Linked DNA regions of Macaca mulatta. The protein of the gene in region 1 interacts with the protein of each later gene in a pairwise test. Links are inferred from orthologs where the notes say so. Each region holds a gene or a part of one and is shown on either strand. Other genes may lie near its edges.

The links.
Region 2: the proteins of SIPA1L2 (region 1) and AP3M1 interact in binary tests that used the Homo sapiens proteins (3 or more experiments, as listed by UniProt). The two-hybrid records come from large-scale screens. The link is inferred for Macaca mulatta from reciprocal best matches to the Homo sapiens genes SIPA1L2 and AP3M1.

Annotation. Positions count from the first base shown.
Region 1 is NC_133406.1:16,421,581-16,425,894, forward strand, and holds the start of SIPA1L2 (signal-induced proliferation-associated 1-like protein 2), read left to right. Parts: upstream 1-1,467; 5' UTR 1,468-1,625; intron 1,626-1,898; exon of another isoform or gene 1,899-2,100; coding exon of another isoform or gene 2,101-2,351; exon of another isoform or gene 2,352-2,447; intron 2,448-2,456; coding exon of another isoform or gene 2,457-2,487; intron 2,488-2,743; exon of another isoform or gene 2,744-3,045; intron 3,046-4,314. Other genes in the region: uncharacterized protein LOC144337349, read right to left, coding at 768-1,079, 2,101-2,351, 2,457-2,487.
Region 2 is NC_133414.1:75,500,546-75,504,211, forward strand, and holds the end of AP3M1 (AP-3 complex subunit mu-1), read left to right. Parts: intron 1-36; coding exon 37-181; intron 182-969; coding exon 970-1,070; 3' UTR 1,071-3,130; downstream 3,131-3,666. UniProt on the Homo sapiens protein: Part of the AP-3 complex, an adaptor-related complex which is not clathrin-associated. The complex is associated with the Golgi region as well as more peripheral structures.

The DNA.
Region 1 (4,314 bases):
CAAGGGGAGGGAAAACCTTGGCCTGCGAGAAGGCGAAAGTGGTAAGTTCACACTAGCCTTTAGGCAAATACAATTTTGTAATTCACCATTGATTTTTTTTTTTGATTTAAGCAAAATGTATAGCTTTAATATAGAATTATTTTCAGTAAGATGTCCTGAGGCCAAAATGATGCACTGATATCTTCACACGTGCTGCAGTTCCACCGTCTCTGCGCTAAGTTTCAGGCTGTTTGCCTAAAAAGGCAAGAAACAAGAGGGCTGCTGGTAGGAAGACTAGCAAGGAAGGACACACACATTAAAATCTAATACTATTTCTGGAATATTTTATTTGGTGAAGAAGGTTCAGAATCATTCCTGAGATGTGTCTCTTGAAGATCTCTCGCGGTTGACTGTGAGGTGGATACCTTATGGGTTTTGCTCTTGCCTGTATGTATCACCTTTGTTCTGCACAGCAAAGGGGCTCACTCAGCACCTGCTGAAGGCAGGAATATTCCGATGAAGGCCAACCTCATGTGACGTGGAGTTCTGGGAAAGTCAGAAAGTCCCATGGACCTTCAGAAACGCACACAAATATTTACTCCACAGAATCAATTACAGGCGTTAAAAAAAATACTGTCAACCTTGGTAGTGGGACTTAGGATATTTCAGTTTTAGTTTGCAAAGCACAAGAAGTGGGATGGGAAGGTGAGAGGGTGAGAATTGCGGCTAGCACCGTCATCGAAGAGTGTCTGGTCAGACTTCCATGTATGATCATTATGTATTGGATATTAAGGAGTGGGTTCCTCTTCATCTATTAGACAATGGACATTTGCAGCTGTAGCAGCAAGACCCACCTCAATGACCACCCACTGATCCAGGATCTGCTCCGAGCTGCAGTCGATTTGTGCTTTAGGGATCAAAATGCTGGAGGAGATGTAGTTCTTCTCCTCAAGGCCCTTACAGACAATGAAACGTGCAATAAGGTGAAACGTGAGTATGTCCTCCCTAGGCACTCCCAGGAAAAGTTCCTTCACGGGTGCTGCTCCTGTAGGGTTTTGTTGAGTACATAGGAGATAATGTTGATATCTCTTGTAGAGTATCTACAATGAATGAGAATACACCTGTCAGATGGTGAGCTCTTGAAGAGCCGAGCCTTATGTCCTGTGCATTTTATATTCCCAGCACCTAGCATGGTCTGGAACATCAGAGGATCTCCACGAATGTTTGTTAAATGAATACATGACAATCTTGTAAATGCTGATAATGGGGTGACAGTTGGGAAACTCATCAAAACCTGGAGTGCTCAGGAATTGTATTATGTCACAGGATTGCTTTTTGACCTGTTTAGTTATACCTAATCCCACAGATTATACCTATAATTTAAAGAGATACAAAAGATTGTATAATGTGTACAGCTTCAGATCACAGAGAAATATAGTGTGGGAGGGACCGCCTGTATTTAACTTTTAACAGGGCTGTGTTCTAGGAAGTGTTTGTGATAGGGAAGTAGAGATAACATTCTCTCTTCAGGAAGAAGTCTGACTCTAGAAGGGGAGGAACTGAAAGCCCCAATCCAGTCTCTGGGAACCCAGCTCAAAACTCTGACAAAAAGGTCTGCTCAGGAAATCCTACGGTGTCGCTGGAAGGTAAGTTAGAGGCTCCCTCCACCTGCTTTATTATTTCTGCGTATAGATGACTGTTGCTGTCCATTTAGGCAGAGTCAATTCCAGTCTAGCTTAAAAGATTCTTCTGAGACCCTTTAATCTTTCTGCATCTAATTCAAATGTCAAGCAATTTACAGTAATAGTTTCAAGTAATGCTTCCTCAAAGGTGAGTCAACATTTCTAAGAAAGTAGAAACGTTGGGTATAAAAAGTTCAATTTTTCCTCGTCGGAAAAACGATCCAAGACATTTCTACCGTGGGCTGAGCGCTGCCTGGAGGGCAGGGAGGAAGGGCTGAGCGGACCGGGCTGGCATGCGGGTGCCTGGAACTGCTGGTCTCTCCGTTTTCCCTGGCTTCTAAAGGTCTCTTAGCAGCATTTCCTGCACGCTGGCACCCCCTGTCCTCCTAAGATTTTACTGCCTGCGTGTTTCTCTGTGATTCCCCACCCTCCGACCCACCGGGCCCGGGGCGCCCTCCGGGGGCCGGCACACAGCAGGGTCTTGCTTCCTCGCGCTGTCTTCTTCATATGGGATCACTTCGAGATGCGGCCGTTTGGGCGTTTGCGCGGCCTCGGCGATTCTGTGGCGTCTTGGGCTGTGTATGTAGCCCCAGCGGCCGAGGCTCACGGATCCGAACGCCCGGCCGCCACGTCTGTCCCAAGTTGGGCGACGGGAGGGCCGGGTGGGGTCGCGCCTGCGCCAGAGGAAGGCTCAGAACCAGACTCGGGGTTTTTAACTTATTCCTCAGAGGGACGAAAGCGAGTACCGGCGAGGACGGCGACAGCTCTCTATAAGCCTGAGTCCAGGTAGGCTGCCCGGCCCTCGAGCTCGCCCAGCGCCGCTCATGCTGCGCTCCACAGCCCCCTCCCCAAGAAAGGCGTTCGGGCCCCTCCCGGACGCGCCGCTCCCGCGCGCCGCGGGGCCTGGGAACAGCGCACCGGCTGAGCCTGGTGCCCGGCGGGCGGTGAGACTGACGGCGCCCGCGCCCAATCGTGGGGCGGAGCCGAGGGGGCCTGCAGGCGGCGGCCAATGGGAGCCCACAGAGCGGGCGGGGGGCGGTGCCGCCTGGCGGGCGGGCGGTGGCATCGGGAGCCGGCGCGGCAGACTGGGAGCCCGGGAGGAGCCGGCGGAGCGAGAGGAGGAGGAGGACGGAGGAAGAGCGCCGCGCCCCCGCCGGCCGCCCGAGTGCAGGCCGAGAGCTCCAGCCGCAGCCGGCGGGTCCGGGCCGCCTCCGCCGGAGCCCGGCGCGGGGAGAGTCCGGGCCGATGGGCAGCCCGGGGCAGCGGCGGGCGGCGAGGCGGCAGCCCGGGTACGCGCCACCCGGCGCGCACAGGCTGTAGCAGGTCCCGGCGGACGGTGTTGCGAAGGTTCGTGTCGGGGAATCCGACGGGCAGCGTGGCGAGGGTAGGTTCGGGATGGCTACGGCCAGGCGGTGACTGTCCCGAAGGGGAAGGGGATGCCCTTCGGGGCGCTTCGGGGGACTGACGGCGGCGAGGGGCGCGGGGGTGCGAGGGGCACGGGGCAGGGTCCGGCTTGTAGACGCAGATGCACCCGCGCTCCCGGGCCCAGGCTAGGAGAGGAGCCGTCGCCGCCTGTTCTCTCCAAGTTATCGATCGTCTGAAAGGTTATTCCCGTGTCGGCGACACAGGCACTGAGGAGGACCTCCTCCAGGTGCCCAGAACTCCGCTCTGACTAACGCTCTCTGGAAGGGCTCGCGGTTGCCCGACGCAGCTCCCCCGGCGCGCCTGGCGGGCTGACGCCGAACTTGCTGCGGGGCTAATTCCCCTTCTAGAAGGGGTGCGCCCCGAGCGCGCGCCCTCACCGGGACGGATCCCTCTTTGTAAGACCGTGAGCAGCCGGGCGAGCGCCCTTCTCACTCAGCGCGACCTTTCTTCCCACTTTGCCAGCTCCTGTGCCTCCCCGGGTCTTCCCGTGTCAGTGAGGGTAGTTTGCCCACGTCCTAGGAATATCCCCAGGAAAACCTACAGATTAATTTTCAGCCGTGCCGCAAACCCAAAGAATCAATTTCGGCTCATCATCTACAAGAGGAGCCGAGGCTTCTCGGAAAGAGAGAACAACTTGGCATTACTCCTCTGGGAGATATTTGTCATCATTAACCTGCTTCAGTTAAATTAATTTAGCCCAAGATGACTCTGGCCTGAGTATTGGAAAAAATCAAGTGCATTGGTCACGGAATTATGCTCAACAAAACACGATTTTGGTCAAAATAAAATTGTAGACATTTTTGATTTGGTTAGATTGAGACTGGGTTTTGACAAGGATGGCTTTTTTCAAAAATCAAGGAAAAAAACCCTCAAAGAATCTTGGTGGTTCTCATGGCTTTGCTCAGTGAAGTTCAAAATAGTCGCACAGATTTTTCTTTTCTTTGCCTCTTTTGTCTGCAGTCTCCATTCTAAACGTTAACACTAGATGGCTTTCTTATGACAGACGTTTAGTAAACTGCCCATTTGAGTTGCGTTTGTGTGCAGCCTAGGTTGTAATTTTTCTAGTGTTACAATTAGTAATTGAAGAAAAAAGATCTCCCAAACTGTTGCTTTTTATTACTTTCCTAGAAAACCTACACATACCAGTATCTTTGCGGATATTGAGAGGTGGCCTATTATTTTTGGCATTCCTAAAGTTGAATTTCAAGAGACAACTTGGTTACTGTAT
Region 2 (3,666 bases), on another chromosome or scaffold:
TGGTTCTATTTGTTTTTCATTCTTTGTCTTTTTAAGGTACTAACATGGGATGTGGGAAAAATTACTCCACAAAAGCTCCCAAGTCTTAAAGGACTGGTAAATTTACAGTCTGGAGCCCCCAAACCAGAAGAGAATCCGAGCCTCAATATACAGTTTAAGATCCAGCAGCTTGCTATTTCAGGTAAGGATAAGGTTGACTTGTAGTTAAGGGTAATTGAGTTTTGCAAGCTCAATTATTAGGCACTTAGAAGAGTAACAAAAGTTTCCCTCTCTAGAAAGAGCAGTAGCCCTTTGGCCGGGCGCGGTGGCTCACGCCTGTAATCCCAGCACTTTGGGAGGCCGAGGCGGGAGGATCACGAGGTCAGGAGATCAAGACCATCCTGGTCAACACGGTGAAACCCCGTCTCTACTAAAACTACAAAAAATTAGCCAGGCGTAGTGGTGGGCGCCTGTAGTCCCAGCTACTCGGGAGGCTGAGGCAGGAGAATGGCGTGTACCCGGGAGGCGGAGCTTGCAGTGAGCCAAGATTGCACCACTGCACTCCAGCCTGGGCAACAGAGCGAGACTCCGTCTCAGAAAAAAAAAAAAAAAGAAAAGAAAGAGCAGTAGCCCATTTGCCTTTTACACTGTGCTTGGTGGGGCCATCTCCCAGGCATCAACCAAATGATTTTGGAGAACACCTTATTTCAAACAGCTTCTCCTCACCTCTGCCCTCATTCAAGCACCAAAAAGGGAGTTATTCATATTTATAGAAAGTAGAATTATACTTCACAGACATTCCCTGCCTGTGTGTGAATCTTAACCAAAACCATACCATCAAAGTGCAATAATTTGTAAATGATAGAAGAGACATTTCTTCCAAATGGTGGAAGGGACACTGGTTAATGTCAGATTTACCATATAGTGCTCATTGCTAACATATTGGTTGGGATGATGATAATTTATTCTTTTTCATTCTTTTTGACACAGGCTTAAAAGTGAACCGTTTGGACATGTATGGGGAGAAATATAAGCCATTTAAAGGAGTCAAATACGTCACGAAAGCTGGAAAGTTCCAAGTGAGGACATGAGAAGAGGCCAAAATTTCTCAAGACCAGTTTGTTTTCCAAGTGTCATTATGATGTATTACTATTAGGTACCAAGTGGGTGGGAATAGATATTCTAGTTAAAGCATTTGTGTCTAGCTACACACCGCTAACAAAGTTGCTTAGTTATCAATGTAGGATTCTTAAGGAGCTTTAAGCTAAGGAAACCTTTTAGTGACTTAGCTTATTTTGTATCTTTTCACTTAGGAAGATGTTGGAGGTGATTTTTTTTCCATAGGAGAATACCATCTGACGGCTGCACATTGTAACAGTAAAGGCAGAAAGCTATAGTGATAACCTCTCTCCTAAAAGGAGTTAACTGGTCTCATCCAGCAGAAGCTATCTTAAATCTCTGATGTGTCAGGTGCAGCCAAATATCACACGTGATCTTAGCCATCCCAAACCAGTATCTGTCCCAAGAGAGGAAATTCCCCCCACCCCCAGAAGTTTACAGAAAACTGCCTCTTCAAGTGTTTGCCTTATTCAGCTTTTCACTTGTGCCATTAAGCAAGCACTGTAGCAAAAGCCACTTCCACATGGCCCTGGCAGGGAGCACTGCTGCTCCATGCTCCATTCTCTCTGTACTTGGTATTGTATTTTTTATAAATAAGATTTTTATGTAAAGCTTATTTGATTTACAGGGACCTTGCTGCAGTAAATACCATCTCAATTTTGTGCCACTGGTTCAGCTGTTAGCACAGTAAAAAAATCATTTGTATCACAGGGGCAAATGCTTTATTAAGGTAGTAAAAGGGAACATTACTTCTGCTTTCAGGAAGTTACTGCAAGCACAAGCATTTGTGCTTTTAAGCAAATTAAAGTAGTAAAAGAAAAACTTAAGTGAAACCTTTGCCATCTTAATGTTTTATAATATAAAGCTTACCCAACACCAGTTAAGCCATGGTTAACCTAAATGTCTCATGCCCCAGTTCAGCAAAAGGAGGAAAATGTGCCTGCCTCACTGTCATCAGTCTTTCTAAATCTTTTACCTTTTTTGTTGTTGTTCTTAAGGGGTTGAATTTGCCTGCATTCCTTGTCTTTAGGGGAAATTCCCTTTTCATATTGTGTGCTTCCCAAAGCTATAGTCATAGATTTCTTCCAGAAACTATTGTCATAATTGTCACTGGAGTGCTTAAATATACTTACTATACTGACAAAATACATGGAAGTGAGTTATAATGAGGCAGAAACAAAATCCTCAGTAACACTGATGATACTGTACTGATCACCATGGTTTTGGAAAGTCAGTCAACAGTTGTATTATTGCACTCAACTTCATTGTGTCATTTTATGTAACTTCTTCATCTTGGTGGTCCTTGCCCAGTTATTTTTTGCCTCATTAGACATCAAGAAATGGAGAAAGACTGAAAGTTAAGATATTCTTCATGTTTCCTTCTTATTTATGCTATTTTCTTCTCTTTATAGCTCCATTCTTCTTTCAGTCTTCTCAGCTTATAACCGTCTTTTCCTTATGCTAAGGATAGCCCTTACACTCATGCCATCTGTGCTGTCAAGGGCTGCTGGTTGGTGCTGGTACAAGGAGCCCACGGAGCAGCTTTCTTACCTTTGTCTGCCCTGTCTTTCATGGCATAAGAAAGGCAACGTTTTGCAGCTTCCCTATTTCTGAAGAAACTAATCTCAGATTGGCAGTTATTTTACAGAACTGCCAAATAGTCAAAATGTTGCCAAATATTTATTCCTTTTGCCTAAGTTAAGCTACCCAGTTCAGTTGCTTTTTATTTTTAATGTCTTGACTCTTCAGGGTTTGTACCTCAAAAGAACAATCAGAACATTTGCTTCGCTTTCTGCTGAATCCCTAATCTCAACAGTCTATACCTGGACTGTCCAGTTCTCCTCCTGTGCTATCTTCTCTTCTATCCAAGTAGAATGTATGCCAGGAGCTCCTGCCTTCTAGCAATTTCTACTAAAATGTCCAAATAGAATGTTTTCTTTTACAATCAAATTACTGTATTTATTAATTTGCTAGAATCCCGTAAATCATTTCGGTAGCTCTGGCTATGCTATCAATAAAAAGATGAAAGCAACAAGTTGATTTTTTTTTAGGTCTACTATTGATTGAACAATCTCCAATGGGCAAGGCTCGTTGTCAAAGCAGGATGAACATGATCAGATTTTCTTCTGCATCATCACACAAGCTGTGAGTGTTGCTGCAAAGCACTTCTCAGCACTCCTTCCCTAACCTCGTTATGTTAATAGCCATTCATACTTGGCTTAAGCATCACCATTCTGGCCACAGTCTGAGAGATTAGTGATCAAAGCTCCCTTCTCTATCACTACCACCACCTACTGATAACAAAGATTCCTGAATACTTAGTAGTAGTAAAATATTTTTCAAGCAGAGTTACAGCTAATCCTGGATCCCTTAGTTCTAAATTCATAAGGAAGCATATCAAGAACAAATGAAGTAGATGATTATTTCCAGTGTGTGGGAGTCACATTATTTTATCCAAAGGGAGTTCCTGTGATAGGTTCATTTCTTAAGTGGTGCTACAGTAGAAAATCAGGAACAAATACAGAACAAGATCAAGAAAATGCTGATCTTGTCCTAAGCGGCAAGTGA